Linked DNA regions of Ovis aries. The main gene of each other region encodes a partner of the protein of the gene in region 2 in a complex. Links are inferred from orthologs where the notes say so. Each region holds a gene or a part of one and is shown on either strand. Other genes may lie near its edges. The genes, in order: BET1L, STX4, VTI1B and BNIP1.

Region 1 (4,187 bases), on a different chromosome or scaffold from region 2:
GAGTCAGCTTTGGCCTTAAACTCCGGCTCGGTGATCGTCCGACTTATGGGCCAGAATCGCCCTGAACCGAGCAGTGAGCCTCACTCCTTGGGCTAGGATTCCTGACAGGAGAGGGCCTCAGCCCCGCACCCCTCCATCACACGCACACCAACACCGCTCTTGATGCACAGAACGAATGAAACGTCCAGGGAAAAGTCGAGGTGGAAAGGAGTTTACAACCTCCGGACCACTTGGTTTCTAAACAGATGTTTGAGTGCCTACTGCACGCGAGGAGCCGGGATGCGGGTGAATAGAACCCACAGGTTCCTGCCTTCTTGGCGCTTATGTGCCGGATGTGAAGACTAAAACGGGCAAACAAGACGACGTTAGGCAGCTATAGTGCTGTGATTGAATAACAAAAGGGGCTTGATGGGCTGCAAGGAGATCTGAAGAAGTGCCAGTCAGTTTTTGCTGAGACCGGAGCCTAGGGAGTGAGCCAGGAAAGGCTCCGAAGGAAGGTTCTGCAAGGCAGGAGTGGCCAGTGCGAGGGTGGGAATGGCCGTGGAGGGAGAGAGAAACATCACTGTTGGAGCTGAGAGAAAAGAGAGACGGGGTCGGGGTGGGGGGAAGGTCAGGAGGAAGACAAAGTCTGACTGTGTGCGGTGACTTCCCTGCTGTGTAAGCAGGCACACCTGCTCGTCTGCTTGGGCTGTTTCCTTTTTTGAAAAGCAGAGACGATACAAGTTTCCATTTCAGTGGATTGTCGAGTACATGGCACAGCAATTGCTCCATTACGGGGGGTGGGTAACTTATAACCCATCCACCGGGCAAGAAGGCTTTGTTAAGCATCTACTTTGTCAGGCCCCTTGTCAGCACCGCGTGCAAGGTCAAAAAGCGCTGGCTCCTCCCGTACCCACTCCCCTCACGCTCCCACCCCTCTTCCTGGTTCCTTGTTTTCTTCAGAGGGCTTCACTCCTGCGACTTCTGCACCGCTCGCTCGTTCCAGGCACTGATCTCGTTTGTCCTGCCGGCAGTAACTGGAACCGGGCTTCCCATCGAGTTCGCTCCGGGCCTCAACCCCGGCGGGGTCGCGGCGAGGAGCCTCTTTGGCCCGGGAAAGGCCCGTGTGCTCTTCCCAGTTAGGACCCCGACACCGCCTTAGGCGGGAATGGCTGCTGGAGTGTCTGTGGGCACCATAGTTGCCTCTAAAACCACAAATCATCCAGGAGTCCCGAGAGCAAACGCCAGCCCCATCCCCAAGTCAAACGACGGAAGAAACGTCAGATTCTTCCCGTTCCCACCGCCGAGTCTGTCGGCCAGATCTCGGCCGGAAGTGGGGGGCCTGAGGCGGAAGGGGTGGGGCCGGAAGCCCCTTCCGGCGACTGCGCCACGTCCGAGGAGGCTGTAATCAAGCGGTGACGGACCCTGGGGTCGGAGCTGGACGCGATGGCGGACTGGGCTCGGGGTGAGCGCGGAAGGGCGGAGGCGGATGGCTACGGGGCTCGCCGGGGCCGACTCCGCTGCTCTTAGGAACCGCCTTCGCCTTTCTCCGCGGCACTAGGTGGCGTTGTTGGCAAGACACTGCGGGCGGGCGTAGTTTGGGCAGGGCGGCCAGGGTGCAGCCCGCCGCGCTGTGGATGAGTCGCTGGGTCCCTTTGGGCGCTCCTGCCCAGCTGCTGCGTGAAACTGCGGGGTCCGGATGCCCGCAGTCCCCACCCGTTTCGTCCCTGGGAGATGACTCTGCACGGGACCTCGGCCGGGTCTCCTGGTTGACGGGTCCCTGAGGCTAGACCCCCTCGGAGTGAGAGCTGCGCGTGATAGGAGGGCCCAAGCATGCCTAGTACCCCACTTGCCTTCTGGGAGTCTCTCTTCACCTGCGAAGTGGGATGCTGATGCTTGTTTCGCTGGGCTGTTGTGACTTTTAAGGAGTTAAGGGTACAGTCGGTCGGTAGGACCTTTACACCTCTTATTTTGGGGTTTGTAAGAAGCCATGGTTCCTAGACTGTGCCCGCTTTTGATGAGTCTCCTTGAGGCATCGGGCTCGAGGCAAATGCGCACTCTGAACTTTGTGGGAAACAGTTCTCACCAGCCTGGTAGGGTGGTAATTCTGAATCACCAGGCCCAGCGCCTGTCTCGGGCCAGTTCTCAGCGGGTACCAGGCTCTGGGTGACACACAAGACCCTGTGTGGGATCAGTCTCAAGCCCTGTAAGTCTTACCAGAGCTCATTGGGGTTTATTTTGAGAACAGGTTCTGTGTACCTTGCTAGTGACACCTGCGGAGGGATGGTACAAGTTCCGTCACAGAATGTCTGAAAGTACTGGTTGAACTGAGCCCTTTGGAGGTGCCCGCCCACCCATCCCAGCCTGGATACATGCACAGGACCTGTGCTCACACTGTTGTTTATACAGTCCTCCTCATGTGTGAAGTTGGATCCTGGGTGAGGGTGGGGCCTGCTCAGCAGACACACAGAGGCCGGGTCCCCTTAGATGCCTGACTGGGCCAGATGGGATTGGAGGCCGGAGGCCACAAAGGGCCGAGATTATAGGGGTCACGGTTCATGAGCGGAGTCATGCTTTCAGCCTCTCTCTCTCCTCACAGCTCAGAGCCCTGGTGCTGTGGAGGAGATTCTAGACCGAGAAAACAAGCGGATGGCTGACAGCTTGGCCTCCAAGGTCACCAGGCTCAAATCGGTCAGTGGTGGTCCTCTCCTTTTGCCTCCACCTGGCATCTGGAGGGGGTGGTCAGCGGGCAGTAAAGACCTGGATGGGTTTCAGGTAGTTCCGTTCTCCTTGTCCCACCTGTGGCATACTCATCTGTGCGAGGCCCAGGTGGCATTTGGATCTTCTGATCTCTGTTGATCTTGTTGGGGGTCAGGTGCTGTTCACTGTGTTTGTCCCGGTCTGACCCTGCCCCCTCTGTGTCCTGACCAGCTGGCTCTGGACATCGATAGGGATGCGGAGGACCAGAACCGGTACCTGGACGGCATGGTAAGGGCCTGCGGTTTGCAAGCGTCACGGTCAGCTCAGCTCCCCACCACCTGCTTTGCAGCCCCCATCTGTGTGTGTGTGTTGCAGAGTCACTGTCCCTTTGTGACAATGTTGGAATTTCTCCCTCAGGACTCAGATTTCACAAGTATGACGGGTCTACTCACAGGGAGTGTGAAGCGGTTTTCCACAATGGCGCGATCTGGGCGAGACAACCGGAAGCTTCTTTGTGGTATGGCTGTGGGCCTGATTGTGGCCTTCTTCATCCTCTCCTACCTCCTGTCGAGGGCAAGGACGTGAGCCAATGGGAACTGGCTTCTGTGGGTGCCTGGGGCAACCAGGATTTTCCTCTGTCTGGTGTTTTGGGCTCCAGAGAACTTGTTTTCAAAATACTCCTTTGAAATGAGGATCATGGCTTAGGAATGTTTTTTCTGCGTGGTTGGGAGCCTCTAACCCAGTGAGCTCTTGTTAGCTGGTTCTATGTGTGCAAGGGCCCTATCCCTGTGGGGTAGCCTAGGCCCAGCTCCCTCTGCCACCTTGAGCTCTAGAAGCCCCAGCAGTGTTGGGTCCAAGCAGAGCATCTGGGAATCCTGGACACGGCCGCCTGTGAGCAGCAGTCCTTTCATCGGCCCTTGAGGTTCTGAGCATCTCAAGGCTTCTCTGCGCTGTCTTGGTCTGGATGAGGCTGTGTCTGATGTTTGAGCTGCCTGGAGCTGACACAGGAAGGGGGTGTGGCTGTGAAGCTCAAATCACTGCTGTCACCTCCAACTGAGTGTCCTCAGCCCGGAGACTGCAGTTTCTCTGGCCAGGGCTGCTGGTCATCCATGACCCGGAGAGATTCAAAGGTCCTGCTGAGTGGCCTCTTCCTGCCCTCCAGTCCCGCGACTGAAACCAGGCCCTCGGGGATGGGCAGGGGGTGTGGGTGGAGGAAGGGACTGCAGCGCAGGCTGAGGACTTGGGGCCCAAGGCCTGCAGTTTCCCAGCCGTGTGTCCAGGAGCAGAAGCCGATGTTCTCACGGGATTCAGGATCTGCCCAGCACCAGAGGCCTGCTTCCCGGAGACTAGACCTCTGGAGACATGTCCGTCTGACGCTTCAGAGTCAGGCCCGGTGTGAGGCGGGGCTTTTGTCGGTGTACGCGGGAGGTTTCTGGATAGTGACTTTTCTTAGGAACTGTAGGGCACTTTTTGAGGGTTTGTGGGCAGTTTCCACTAAGCTAACCCTA
Region 2 (3,995 bases):
AACAAATATTTACTGAGGGCCTAACATGTGCTGGGGTTCCTAGTTGGTTCAGTGGTAAAGAATCTGTCTGCCAGTGAAGAAGACACAAGAGATGCTGGTTCGATCCTTGGGTTGGGAAGATCCCCTGGAGGAGGAAATGGCAACCCGCTCTGGTATTCTTGCCTGGAAAATTGTATGGGCAGAGGAGCCTGGTGGGCTACAATTTGTGTGTGTTAGTCACTTAGTCGTGTCCGACTCTTTTGTGACCCCATGGACTGTAACCCTCCAGGCTCCTCTGTCCACAATCATGCCCTCACTTTAGTAACTCACAGGCCACGATAATATGTAATATTTTTGTGGGTTCCAGAGGGTAGACCCCCAGTGCAAGGTGGGGGTCTGGGGAGGGGGTTGTCTAAGTGACATGCTGCTCAATGTAACAGACTTTTTTCTAAGCCCGAGCTGCCCTGAAATGCCCTGCTCAAAGGTGGTGAGTGCAGCGGGACTGCAGTGTTCAAGCCGGGCGCCAGCCAGCCGCCCACCTGTCAGAAACTGTGCCAGGAGTATGCGGGAGAAGAGAGTTCCGCCTCGGGTGAGGTCACTTCCCACCCCCAGATGCTCTGCCTACAAAATCTCGCAAGTCTCTGACGCTGTATTTTATTCTTTTCTGAATTTCAAGGTCTCATGATGTTGACAGCTCCAAATTCTAAGTCCTCAGTCTGCCCACACTCGCGGACCCAAAAGAAAGGAAGCCGGATTCAGCCTGGGTCCTACCACCCACTGTCTCTGGGGGTAGTCAGCGCCCCCTCCCCGCCTCGCGGGGGTTCTGAAGAGAGGTAACTCGCGCGCGGGGTGCCGAGGACGTCGTGGGGAGATGGGTGTTCCAGAGATGGAGTTGACAGGGCAGAGACATGTGACAGTCGAAGCGTCACGTTCCGTGGTCTGAGAGGTTGGGACCAGGCCGGTCACATGACGCGCGCGGGGGGGTTTGCACTATGGGGTGATGCGAATTGAGAGGGCCTCACAGATCACGTACCAATGACGCATTCCCACCCCTTTTGGCAACTAGATTTCCGCTGGAAGATGCGATAGTTCCGGCAAAGGGGGCGGGTTCTCACGTCCTGGCAATTTCGCTTCCGTTCGGGGCGCTGAAGCTTCCGACCTCGGCCTTTCCCTGGGGTGGGGAAGGGACGCGATCCGGTGCGCATGCTCCAGTCTTTCCAGAGGGGGCGGGGCTGAGGCTACAGGAGAGGGCGGGGGGAAAGAAAAGGGAATTCCAACCTGTGGAATCTTGGGGGTCCCCGAGGTCGGCTCCTTCCCTTTGAAACTGTGAATGGTGCCAGGGACAGAGCCTCTAGCGACTCTTGGGGGAGGGTTTGGGGCCTGCAGGGTGAGGGCGGAGGGGAGTGTCAGAGTGTGAGTTGGGTACGGGAGTTCCAAACTTAGAATCTTGAGGCCCGCCGGGCTCCGGCGCCGGCGAGAGGGATCTCGGGCCGCCATGCGGGACAGGACCCACGAGCTGAGGCAGGTGAGAATTTGGCGCAGCAGGGTTGGGGACGGGTGGACGGGATGGGGTCTACTGGAATGCAGGACTCCTGGTCCTCGGGGCCGGGAGGGATGACTGTGGGCTAGGAAGGAAAGTCCCGGAAGCCCGTGAGTTCTACTGGGGGAGAGCAGTAGCAAGGAAGTGATGCCAGTGACCCCGGCCCTGGCAGGGGGATGACAGCTCGGACGATGAAGACAAGGAGCGAGTCGCGCTGGTGGTACACCCGGGTACTGCACGGCTGGGGAGCCCGGACGATGAGTTCTTCCAGAAGGTAAGAGGCTGGAGTCTCGGCCTGGATTCACGAGGGGCCTGGAGGGCCCGAGGAGCAGAGCAGCCTGGAGCAGCGCCCACATCTCCCTCAGCCCTCTCGGTCATCGTCCCCAGGTTCGGACAATTCGGCAGACTATCGTCAAGCTAGAGAATAAAGTCCGAGAGTTGGAGAAGCAGCAGGTCACCATCCTGGCCACGCCCCTTCCCGAGGAGAGTGAGTGAAACCCCGGGTGCAGAACGCATGCTCAGCTGGAGGCTTGTGGGGGTTGTAGTTCCACACAGGTGGTGGCCAGGGAGATTTGTTGAGGTAGAGGTTGCTATTTGGGCATCATGGCTTTCTCTTGTTTAGGCATGAAGCAGGACCTGCAGAACCTGCGTGACGAGATCAAACAGCTAGGGAGGGACATCCGCGCGCAGCTGAAGGGTGAGCTCCTAGGACTTTAGCCAGATACTTTCCTCTGATCCTGCCCAACTCCTGGTATTTCTGGGCAGTGTGTGGTCCAGAGAGGCCAGTGATATATATCCAGGTCACACAGCAGGCCAACGTCTAGAATCTCCATCTCCTGGCTTTCGGTCCAAAGTTCTTTCCACAGCATATGCCTGCCTCTCAAGTTCCCTTATTTATAATGAAACCATGTCCATTTGATCTTTGTCCAAGGCAGAGGTTAGCGTTGCTACCTCCACCTTCAGGTCGTTATCTGCATATAACTGTATAGTCTGCCGTCCACATCCCAGGTTCTGCAAGGGTGGATTCATGCAGTCATGGATTGTGTAGTACTGTAGTATGCATTTATTTTCTAAAAATTCAGGTATAAGTGGACCCACAGTTGTGCAAGGATCATCTGTACTCCTACAATTCTTGCTGCCCAGTGTGTATTCTTTGGGTGGGAAGATGTGGGTTTTGTTAGGAAGCTTCTCCAAACATGTGGGAATTCTCTGATGTATTTATTGCAAAGAAAAATATACTTTTGCCTGTCAGAGGCTCAAGAGTAGTCATTTATGATGAATTTTATTTCAAAAAAAAAGCTCTGTGGAGATATTGTATCTCTCTCTATTGTATGGCTGCATGGCTGGGTCCCAGTCCCCAAATGAATTTCAGAAGCCAGAGGTCAAACCCCCTCCTCTACCAATACTTCTGTGTCTTTCCACAGCCATAGAGCCCCAGAAGGAGGAAGCTGATGAGAATTATAACTCCGTCAACACAAGAATGAGAAAAACCCAGGTGGGTTCATTATTCCCAGAAGTAGGACATTTCAGCAAGTGTTCAATAGATCATTAGATGGCAGATGTAAGAAGGCAGGGCTCTTAGAGATCATTAAATCCAACCTGATGATTTTCCAAATGAGGAAACTGAGGCTCAGAGATAAAAAAGGATTTACCCCAAGGTCAAGAACCCGGGTTTCCTGACTTCCAATCTGTTATAACACCTTGCCTTCTTCTCCTCCATTCAGTGAGAAGTTGCTGAGACCCCAGACATGATCTGGGCTTGGTTGTAGGAGATATACTTTCTAGAAGCCAAGATGGGGAGTTAAGCTTGCATAGATGACAAAGACATTACTCAGGTAGGACTTGGTAGTTAATGGCTCTGCCCAGGGAAAAAAAGGGTGCAGTCAAGTGACTGGGTGGTTTCCTACCCATGTGATGAGGACATCCTCTGCCCCAAGGACAGAATTCAAGTCAGGAAGAGGAACTTCCCTGGTGTGTGTGTATGGGGAAGGTCACTGAATCATCATCTTAATAAGGAGATTTGAAATGGTCTGAGCAGTGTCCTCTGGGTGCCCAGAGAGGCATGGTTTGGAGTTCTTGGAGGTCAGAGTTGGAGTAGGTGGGCCCAGAAATCAGCAAAGACCCCAGATTGAAGATTAAACAATTTGGGGATTTTTTTTTTAATGGAAGAGAAGGAAAGAGTAGTTTTATTACTTTGCCAAACAAAGGGGGGAACACAGTAGGCTAGTGCCTCAAGAACTGCCCCCCCACAATTTGGGCATCTTGAAAGGGTGCAACTGAACCCAGGACAGCAGATGTGTCCTGGAGAAAGGAACTCCAAGGAATGAGCAGATTTTAGGCATCAGGAAAATGGACAAGCAGGGAAGGCATTTACAGGGGGTGGGGGGCTTGTGGTAGTCATTGTGTGAGAGGCTGAGTGCCCAGGTGGGCCTGCAAAATCTGGGAAATGCAAAATCCTGGCACACCTTTAGTCTAA
Region 3 (4,265 bases), on a different chromosome or scaffold from region 2:
ATAATCTTTCCTTTTTGTACCTGCCTTTTCTGTAACACAATGCTATTCACTACTACTAACAATCCCAGACTTTGCTATCTCTGAATGCTCAATGAATACTGGTGTCTCAGTGATAAAGAATCCGCCTGCAGTGCAGAAGACTTGGGTTCCATCCCTGGGTCAAGAATATTCCCCTGGAGAAGAGAATGGCTACCCACTCCAGTATTCTTGCCTAGGAAATCCCCTGGACAGAAGAGCCTGGCAGGCTGCAGTCCATGGAGTCACAAAGAGCTGGATACAACTGAGCGACTGACACTTTTCACTTTCTTGGGACTTATCACAGTACACTGCTACTAACAACTGCAGACTTGGCTACACAAAGAGCTCAACAAATGTTTGTTGAATCAAAGGCCAATGAACTCAGTCTAATAAAAATAAGGGCCCAGGAGGTATATACATCACCAAATCATTTCCCCCGAACAGTCAAATGTATCTTAATGTGTGGGCAGTCTTCAGTATTGGGCTGCCAAGGAAACATTTCAGAATGAACTCCATAGGCAAACCATGTAATCAACGGAAATAGGAACTTTCTCCCACTAACCATGGGAACCCACAGAGTGCAGGAAAAGGCTTTGTAATCGTTAACACATTACACTTAATGGTGAAGCCAGGTCTGTCTTGCTCACTACATTATAAGTTATCCAAGCGATGAATCTTTTATTCACCAACACATGCCCAGAACCCAGCATAAAGGCTATGGTTAAATTGACAAACACCTGCTGAGTGAATGACTGCATGAGCAAGCCGATATATGAGCTCAGCCCAAATAAGAGGCTGAGCGCATATTTGAGGGGTCGCACTGCTGTCCGGGGGCCACTCCTGAAAGCATGTCACTCCAGTCACCTGCTCCCCAATAAAAGTGCTTTCAACTCGGGGGCAGGCAGGCACCTGGTCCTACTATCTTCTGAGAACTGAAAGCTAACAGCCGGAATGTGAACTGAGGAAATCAGGATAGTCACAGTGCGATGATAATGACGACGACGGCCAGGTGCCAACTGATACCCTAACCGCTGCGCATCGCGGTCACGCCGGCGGCCGCGGTTACAGCAGGACCACCGCCCCCGGCAACTCGTGACTTCCGAGTCGGAGCGTCTTTCGTGCCGAACTACAACCCCCGGCATGCACTGCAGAGCCCCCCCCCCCAATCCTTGCCGGAAGGCGGGGCCCAGGAAAGAGGCGCCCGCGTCGGCCGGCCCGCGGGTGCCCATGTTTTCCTTCCGCCATCCGGCCTCCCTACAGCCTCGGACTGAGTATTTCTGGGGTTCCGAGACTGCCGCTCGCGCCAAAGCGCCACCGCCCCTTCAGAAGTCTCCCGGGCAACGGAGCCAGACTAACTTTCTGTCAGGCTTTGACGCCCGGCGCGCCGTCAGTGACGGCAAGCAGGGGATGGGCGTTCCGGCCCGGGAGGACCCCGCCGCGGCCCCGGAAGCGCCTCGTCGGGGGACTGTGGCGGCGGTCGCCGTGATGCCTGAGGGGCTGGGCGGCTGACGGCGGAGTAGGAGCGGGCCCTGGGCCCAGAATCTCGGCGCCCGCTGCTCGAGAGCGGCCTGCGCCATGGCCACCTCCGCCGCCTCCTCGGAGCATTTCGAGAAACTGCACGAGATCTTCCGCGGCCTCCATGAAGACCTACGAGGGGTGCCGGAGCGGCTCCTGGGGATGGCAGGGACAGGTGAGGTGGGGGCGGGATGAGACAACGGGAACAGCGCTCCGCTAGCACCGGGAGGAAGAACCCCCACCTCCTTTCCAGACCCACCCTCCCGTCTCTCGCTTGGCGTCCTCAGGCACGCCCCCTAGGCCTGGCTGAGTCCCGGCGTCCAGAATCTCCGTGCTGACACTTAGGTACCCAGGGGTCCACCACGGAGTGTCATCTCTCTCTTGAATCCCCTGTTGCCTTCAGAGTTCGCTCGTTTCATTTTCACTGTGGCAAGATGGGCATGAGAGACCTTATACCTGTGACCCTTAAATCTGTAAACTGAGTATAATTGGTTTTCTTTGTGGCTCTCAGTACTTTGTTTTCCGCGCTTGAAAGTGTTCTCCAAAGAGGCCCATAGTTTTCACCAGATTGGCAAAGGACCTGTAGCACAAAAAGGGTTAAAAACCCAAAGCCATCATAACTTTGGAGGCTGGTGTAAATAACCAGTCTTGGGGGCGGGTAGGGGTTGGGGGAGGGATTGGTCTTTAAAATGAGGATGGTGGCCTTCAGGTGCGATCCTTTTATGACCTCTGCTTAGACCTTCCTGCCCCTTGATTTCATAATGCAGTGTGCTGCAAGCTTGTCTTGGGGGAGCTAAGAATTTTTTGATTGAATCTGTATAGGAAGGTCTATCATAGTTCTTTGCCTTAAAACAAGTAGATCTTGATGGCAAGGCCGATGAGACTTTCATTGCTTTTCCTGAAGCGTGGAAGCTTGAGTGTTTGCTCTGTTACCTAAGGTCACATGAATTGAATGACTCTGATGAGAATGAAACTCATACTTTTGTTTAACATATAGTTATTAAGAGAGGCTGCTGTGCACTCGGCACTGTGTAGATGCTGGTAATATTGCAAATTGCTGTGAAAAGACTTAGAGACCTCTGTTCTTATGGGTCGATGATGATATAAATATTTGGAAGTGGTGTTAAGGGCCATACAGGAAAATAAAGCAGGGCAAGGAATGGGGAAGCTCTAATTGTAAATTGGATGGCTATGAAAGGCCTCTTTGAGGAGGTAACGTTTGAGCAGAGACTTGAAGTAAGGGACTGAACCATGCAAAAATTTGGGAGAAATAAGTTTCAGGAGGACAGACTAGTACTGCTGCTGCTGCTAAGTCACTTCAGTCGTGCCCAACTCTATGCAACCCCATAGACGGCAGCCCAGCAGGCTTCCCCATCCCTGGGATTCTCCAGGCAAGAAGACTGGAGTGGGTTGCCATTTCCTTCTCCAGAATAGTACTGCAATAGTCCTTAAGCAGAAGTGAGCTTGGTATGCTCTAGGAAGAACTAAAGGGCCAGTGTGTTTAGGGTGGAATGAGCAAAGGAAATAATAGTAATAGATAAGGTTTTAAAGGGCCAGATTGTGTGGGGCCACGTGAACCCTGGTGAAAGATTTGCATCTTTATCTAAATACAGTGACTTGAAGTTAAAGGCTACAGAACAGGAGAGTGATTGGATCTGATTTACATGGTTGAAAAATAGATCATTTTTTTCACCTGGTGTTGATTTAAATTTTGCAAGATTTGTTTTTGTAAGGGTGTGGTTGTGGTTTAGTTGCTAGGTCGTGTCTGACTCTTTCCAACCGCATGGACTGTAGCCCACCGGACTCCTCTGTCCATGGCGTTTCCCAGATTGGAGTGGGTTGCCATTTCCTTCTCCAGGGGATCTTCCCAACCCAGGGATTGAAACCCCTGTCTCCTGCATTGCACTTGGTCTCCTGCATTGTAGGCGACTTCTTTACCAACTGAGCTATCAGGGAAGGCTAAATAATGCCAAAGGACATTCTGTTTCCAAAAATAGAAAACTTAGTTGTATTCACTTTTGTCATCTACCTGAGGACAATCAAAAAGGTGTGAATTTCTACCCAGGTACAAAATAGTCTCCACACAAGTTGCTGGTAACACTTAGTTGTTCAGTGGGTAAGTATTATATAGTATTTGCATATCCTCAGGTTATAAGAATTTCAACAGCCTTCAGTCCCTTTATTCACTGCTTTGTTTATATTCCTCAATAAATATTTGTTGAATAAGTTGGATTTAATTAAGCAAACATACTGGGGTGTCATCTCTGAATCCTTTTTTTCTTGTACTAAGACGACTTCATAGGCTTTCCAAAGCTTTCCTATCATGAATTATTAGGCACTGAATAATATAGTCACTGAATAATACATTAATACATAACACATCCCTTGCATTTAGCTTATGCTCTGTAATTGAATTCAGTATTTTCAATAAACATCTATCAAGAATTATGAATCACTCAATATCCTGGGTCTGGGGAGTTCTGTGAGTTCTTGCCTTAAATGGGAGATTTCCAAAGTGTGTGATGAGTCCTAAGATAGTTTTGAGACCGTGACAGGAAGGCTAACATGGCCGTAGGGGAGTGAGAGGAAAGCTTCTCAGAAAGGAGAACTTCTGAGTGTAAAGGGTTGAGTGGGAATTTGCCTGAGAGGGGAAGTGAGAAGAGACAACAAAGGAAGGGGAAAAGAAAAGTCAAATATTCAGAACTGTGACTGAAACAAGATGTGTGTAGGAG
Region 4 (4,061 bases), on a different chromosome or scaffold from region 2:
CAGTGAGCCTCTGAGGAGACTGAGGCACAGAGAGATGAAGTGGGTGGTCAAGCAGGATTCAAGCCAGGGCAGATGCCCAAGATGCGTTGCCCAGCCAGTCTATTAGATGCAGTGGTGTGATGAACGCTTCAAGGGAGGGTGTTCTCTCCAGGACTAGACTTCCAAAAAGAGCTTGAAGAATCCAGGAAGGAGACAGGGCTGGTGGGGTGATTGATGCCCTTGAGATCCAGCTAAGAAACTTGGACTAGTTAATAATAATAATACAATGAAAGAGTCTCCATCTGTTGAGGGTGTGCTCTTAAGTATTTCCATTAAGTAATTTAAGGCTTCCCTGGTGGCTCTAAAGACGGTAAAGAATCTGCAATGTGGGAGACCCAGGTTCAATCCCTGGGTCGGGAAGATCTGCCTGGAAAAGGAAATGGCTACCACTCCAGTATTCTTGCCTGGAAAATCCCATGGGCAGAGGAGGGTTACATCCCTGCCAGGTTACAGTCAGTCCATGGAGTCACAGGACTAAGTGACTCACTTTTGTTTCCATTAAAAACTACATTAATCCGTCAAAACTACTCCAGCAAAGTATATTTATTAAAACCAATTGCACACAAAAGGGAAACGCCAGGAGTCAGAGAAGGGGTGTAAGTTGGAATGTGACTTGATCAGTTGGGCATTTTAGAAAGATCCCTCCAACCGTGGGCTGAACTGACAGGAGTTGTTAACCCTAGCAAACTACCTTGAATTTCATACATTAAAAAAAATAATGATAACATTTGTCATTTTCTTCTTTCACCCTACAACTTATTTTCACTGTAGAAAATATGAAAAATACAAGAAAGTGTAAAGGAGTATAAAAAATTGTTTAACTCCACCTTCCAGAGACATCCCAATGGATATTTTTTTCCAATCTTTTTCCCCTCTCTGTGCAAAAAATATGCAGTCATTAGAATGGCTGATGGGCAGAATATGGGGAGACGCCCCTGTTAAAGCGTCCTGACAATTCCCTCCTTTCTTTCTCTACGTCTTCTAGGTCCACCACAAGAGGCCGACTGATTTTTCCCACGTGTCAGGCAAAGGCCATAGGACTTGGCGCCACCACCCTCGCTCGCCTCAGGCCTGGTCTCTAGGGGGCGCTGCCGTAAGACCCGGAGGCTAAAAAGGAAACCGGTGCGAAAACGCGTTGGAACTTGGGCTCCGCGGCTTCCCGTAGCCGGCATTTCCAACATGGCTGCTGCCCAAGATGTCCACGTCCGTATCTGTAACCAAGAGATTGTCAAATTCGATCTGGAGGTGAAGGCGCTTATCCAGGTACTAATGCCCGGGGTCCCCGCCAGGGTCCAGAAGCCCTAAATCCCAGCTCAGCTGGCCTTCTGTGAGCTCAGCGGCCTTACTCCCGAGCTTTCCGCCCTTGGTCATGTCTCCGAGGCCACTGGCCCAGCTCCCTGCCCGCTACCCCTCAACTGTCTCGCCCCATGGCCCCTCCCCTGGATCGTTGGCTTTGGTATTCCGTCCGACTGCCGTTAGCTCGCCCTCTTCCAGGACACCCCGTCCTCTACCTCCACTCCTAACTGGGCTTCCCCTATGTGGCCGCTCCCCTACACACCCCTGGCCGTCACCTCGCCACCCCCCAGCCAGCCTCAAAACATACCTGTCATCCTGCCTGGCCCCGCCTTCTGATCCCGTCCTCCTCATGCTTCAGTAGCGTCCTGTGGGCCATCAGCCTCGCCCCCTGCTGGTCTGATGCCCCGTGGCACCAAAGGCCACCTGGCACAGGAGGTACTGGGTGAAATGAACGTGACCTAGACCGTAGTTGTGATTTTGTAAATGAGGAAGGAGTCTGCCTGAGCAGAAAGTAGATAATGGCAAAACTGGGACGCGGACAATGAAAGTCATCCTAGAAAAAATTCTTGGCGTCTACTTCGTTTAACTGATGGGGCGATTGAGATCCTTTGCCTAAGCCAATTAAGGGTAGAAGGTAATAGTTCAGTAAACCAGTTGGCATAGGCAAGAGTTGGGAATGTAGAAATAGTTCCTTTAGTTTATCAAAAAGAAACCAAGAGTTTTAAACCTTTCTTTTGGGCAAATGGTTTCCATTTCCAGCAGTGTTACTCAACCTTAGATGCTAAGTAAGAGTCTTCATCTAGCTGTGGTAAAAGGTGAAGGAAAGTAAGCTCCCTACGGAAATCAGGTGCAAAATAAACCAAATTAATAGCCGTTAAATGTTGCATGGAACTGTGATTTAATGAGTAATCCAGAGAACAAGAACAACTTGATACAAACATTTAAACTTTTTGAACTTCACCTTTCCCATGTATTAACTACAAAACATCTGGGCCAATTCTAGAAGAATTAATTTAGGATTCATAAAAAGGAAACTGGCTTTTCAGGTGATCTAAATTTCCTCAGCCCCATTTTGCACTCTCCAAGATTCACTTTCTCCTGAAGAGAACAATTGATTATAGCTAGATTTAGCACATCCTTACAGTGTGGCAACTCCTGCTAAGCCCTTTATGTGGGTACCTGGTTATGAAGTGGGTAATGATGGGTAAACAGACACAGAAGCTTCAGTAACTTTTTCAGGATTATACATCTGATAAATTGCTGCAACTAGAATTTGAATCCACATGGTCTGACTCTAGGGCCTACTTTTTACCTGGCCCTGGTAATTCTGAATGTCCAGAAACAAATTCGAAATCTACATTTGAACATGTCTGTAAACTGTGTGATTTATCATATTAATAGATGGTGTGTAAAATCAGTTCAAGCAGTTAAAGAGGTTCGTCTTGTCATATGCCGAGAATTTAGCATCCTCATTTTTAGGTTGGAAAGACCTGAAGTTATGGTGCCCTCTCAGGTGTTCGTTCTTGTCGGATATGCAAGCTGCTTTAAGTCTTTCATAATGGCTGGATGCTGTTCTGTTAAACATCAAGACTTATTAGTTCCTTAGTCCGTTTCTGGTTTTAAAAACGTGTTTATTAATTAATTTTTGGTTGCACTGAGTCTTCGCTGCTGCGCATGGGCTTTCGCTGACCGCACAAGCAGGGGCTACTCTTTGTTGCAGCGCATGCGCTTCTCATTGCTGCAGCTTCTCTTGTTCCGGAGCACAGGCTCTAGGCCCCGCAGGGCTTCGGTAGTTGCAGAGGCAGGCTCCGCAGCTGTGGTGTGCGGGCTTAGTTGCTCCGCAGCATCGGATTTCCTATCCACTGTACCACCAGGGAAGTCGCACTGTTGTCTTTCTGCTTATGCTTCTATGTTGCTCGCTCAGACTTGACTCCAAAGAGGGATGAAAAAAAAGTAAATTATAATGCTTCTGCTTGTGTTACAGAGGTAAACAGCAGAGATTAGGATGAATTACAGCCAGTAGGTCCAACTTAGTTGTGGTCTAAGCCAGCTCTCTCATTGTACAGCTGGTGTCATTTCCTCTCATTGCCTTGAGAAAGGCCCGTTCATCTCTTCAATGTCTCCTAGGATATTCGAGATTGTTCAGGACCATTAAGTGCACTTACCGAACTGAACACTAAAGTGAAAGAGAAGTTTCAGCAACTGCGGCACAGAATACAGGTGAGTGAGTGCGCAGCTGGGACGCTGCGCCTGGGGAAAGAAAAGAAAGTGCATTGGAGAGGTTTTGCATTGTGTTAAGTTAATGATTTGTTTAAAATCTAGATTCTTTAATGGAGCGTAAACTCAATGACAGCAGGCCTGTTCCTGGTGATCGCTGCGTATCCCTCATGATGGTACAGATTGAGCACCATCGTTGAGTGGAAGAATGGGTGTGTGGGAAGAAGGGAGGGAGGGAGGCAAGGTGGGGGAAATGGAAGTTCTGTCACAGAGAAGCAGAGAGAGTTCTAGAGGAAAAGAAAGTGAGGGCTGCTGCCCCTCACTGAGGTGGGTGGCTGTGTCCTGGGGTTTGATTATTTGGGGCTCTGAGTCTTTCTTTTCAGAAGGCCTTACCTGTGGGGCTTTCGTGCGACCTGGGTTGAATGTCTCTTCAGAGGTTTTTGCATTTGCTTTTGCCAGGTCTCCTGGGATTACCACAGGTCTGGGAGCACTTTTTATGTTTGTTTCTC

The links.
Region 1: STX4 (region 2) and BET1L share a complex: the UniProt entries of both Homo sapiens proteins name them as parts of the SNARE complex. The link is inferred for Ovis aries from reciprocal best matches to the Homo sapiens genes STX4 and BET1L.
Region 3: STX4 (region 2) and VTI1B share a complex: the UniProt entries of both Homo sapiens proteins name them as parts of the SNARE complex. The link is inferred for Ovis aries from reciprocal best matches to the Homo sapiens genes STX4 and VTI1B.
Region 4: STX4 (region 2) and BNIP1 share a complex: the UniProt entries of both Homo sapiens proteins name them as parts of the SNARE complex. The link is inferred for Ovis aries from reciprocal best matches to the Homo sapiens genes STX4 and BNIP1.

Annotation. Positions count from the first base shown.
Region 1 is NC_056074.1:47,478,402-47,482,588, forward strand, and holds the start of BET1L (BET1-like protein), read left to right. Parts: upstream 1-1,359; 5' UTR 1,360-1,425; coding exon 1,426-1,444; intron 1,445-2,578; coding exon 2,579-2,670; intron 2,671-2,910; coding exon 2,911-2,967; intron 2,968-3,096; coding exon 3,097-3,264; 3' UTR 3,265-4,187. UniProt on the Homo sapiens protein: Vesicle SNARE required for targeting and fusion of retrograde transport vesicles with the Golgi complex. Required for the integrity of the Golgi complex.
Region 2 is NC_056077.1:27,673,479-27,677,473, forward strand, and holds the start of STX4 (syntaxin-4), read left to right. Parts: upstream 1-1,189; 5' UTR 1,190-1,474; coding exon 1,475-1,504; intron 1,505-1,691; coding exon 1,692-1,793; intron 1,794-1,906; coding exon 1,907-2,006; intron 2,007-2,141; coding exon 2,142-2,216; intron 2,217-2,718; exon of another isoform or gene 2,719-2,943; coding exon 2,944-3,014; exon of another isoform or gene 3,015-3,995. UniProt on the Homo sapiens protein: Plasma membrane t-SNARE that mediates docking of transport vesicles. Necessary for the translocation of SLC2A4 from intracellular vesicles to the plasma membrane.
Region 3 is NC_056060.1:77,616,179-77,620,443, reverse strand, and holds the start of VTI1B (vesicle transport through interaction with t-SNAREs homolog 1B), read left to right. Parts: upstream 1-1,463; 5' UTR 1,464-1,593; coding exon 1,594-1,708; intron 1,709-4,265. UniProt on the Homo sapiens protein: V-SNARE that mediates vesicle transport pathways through interactions with t-SNAREs on the target membrane. These interactions are proposed to mediate aspects of the specificity of vesicle trafficking and to promote fusion of the lipid bilayers.
Region 4 is NC_056069.1:5,005,479-5,009,539, forward strand, and holds the start of BNIP1 (vesicle transport protein SEC20), read left to right. Parts: upstream 1-1,209; 5' UTR 1,210-1,218; coding exon 1,219-1,302; intron 1,303-3,462; coding exon 3,463-3,555; intron 3,556-4,061. UniProt on the Homo sapiens protein: As part of a SNARE complex may be involved in endoplasmic reticulum membranes fusion and be required for the maintenance of endoplasmic reticulum organization. Also plays a role in apoptosis.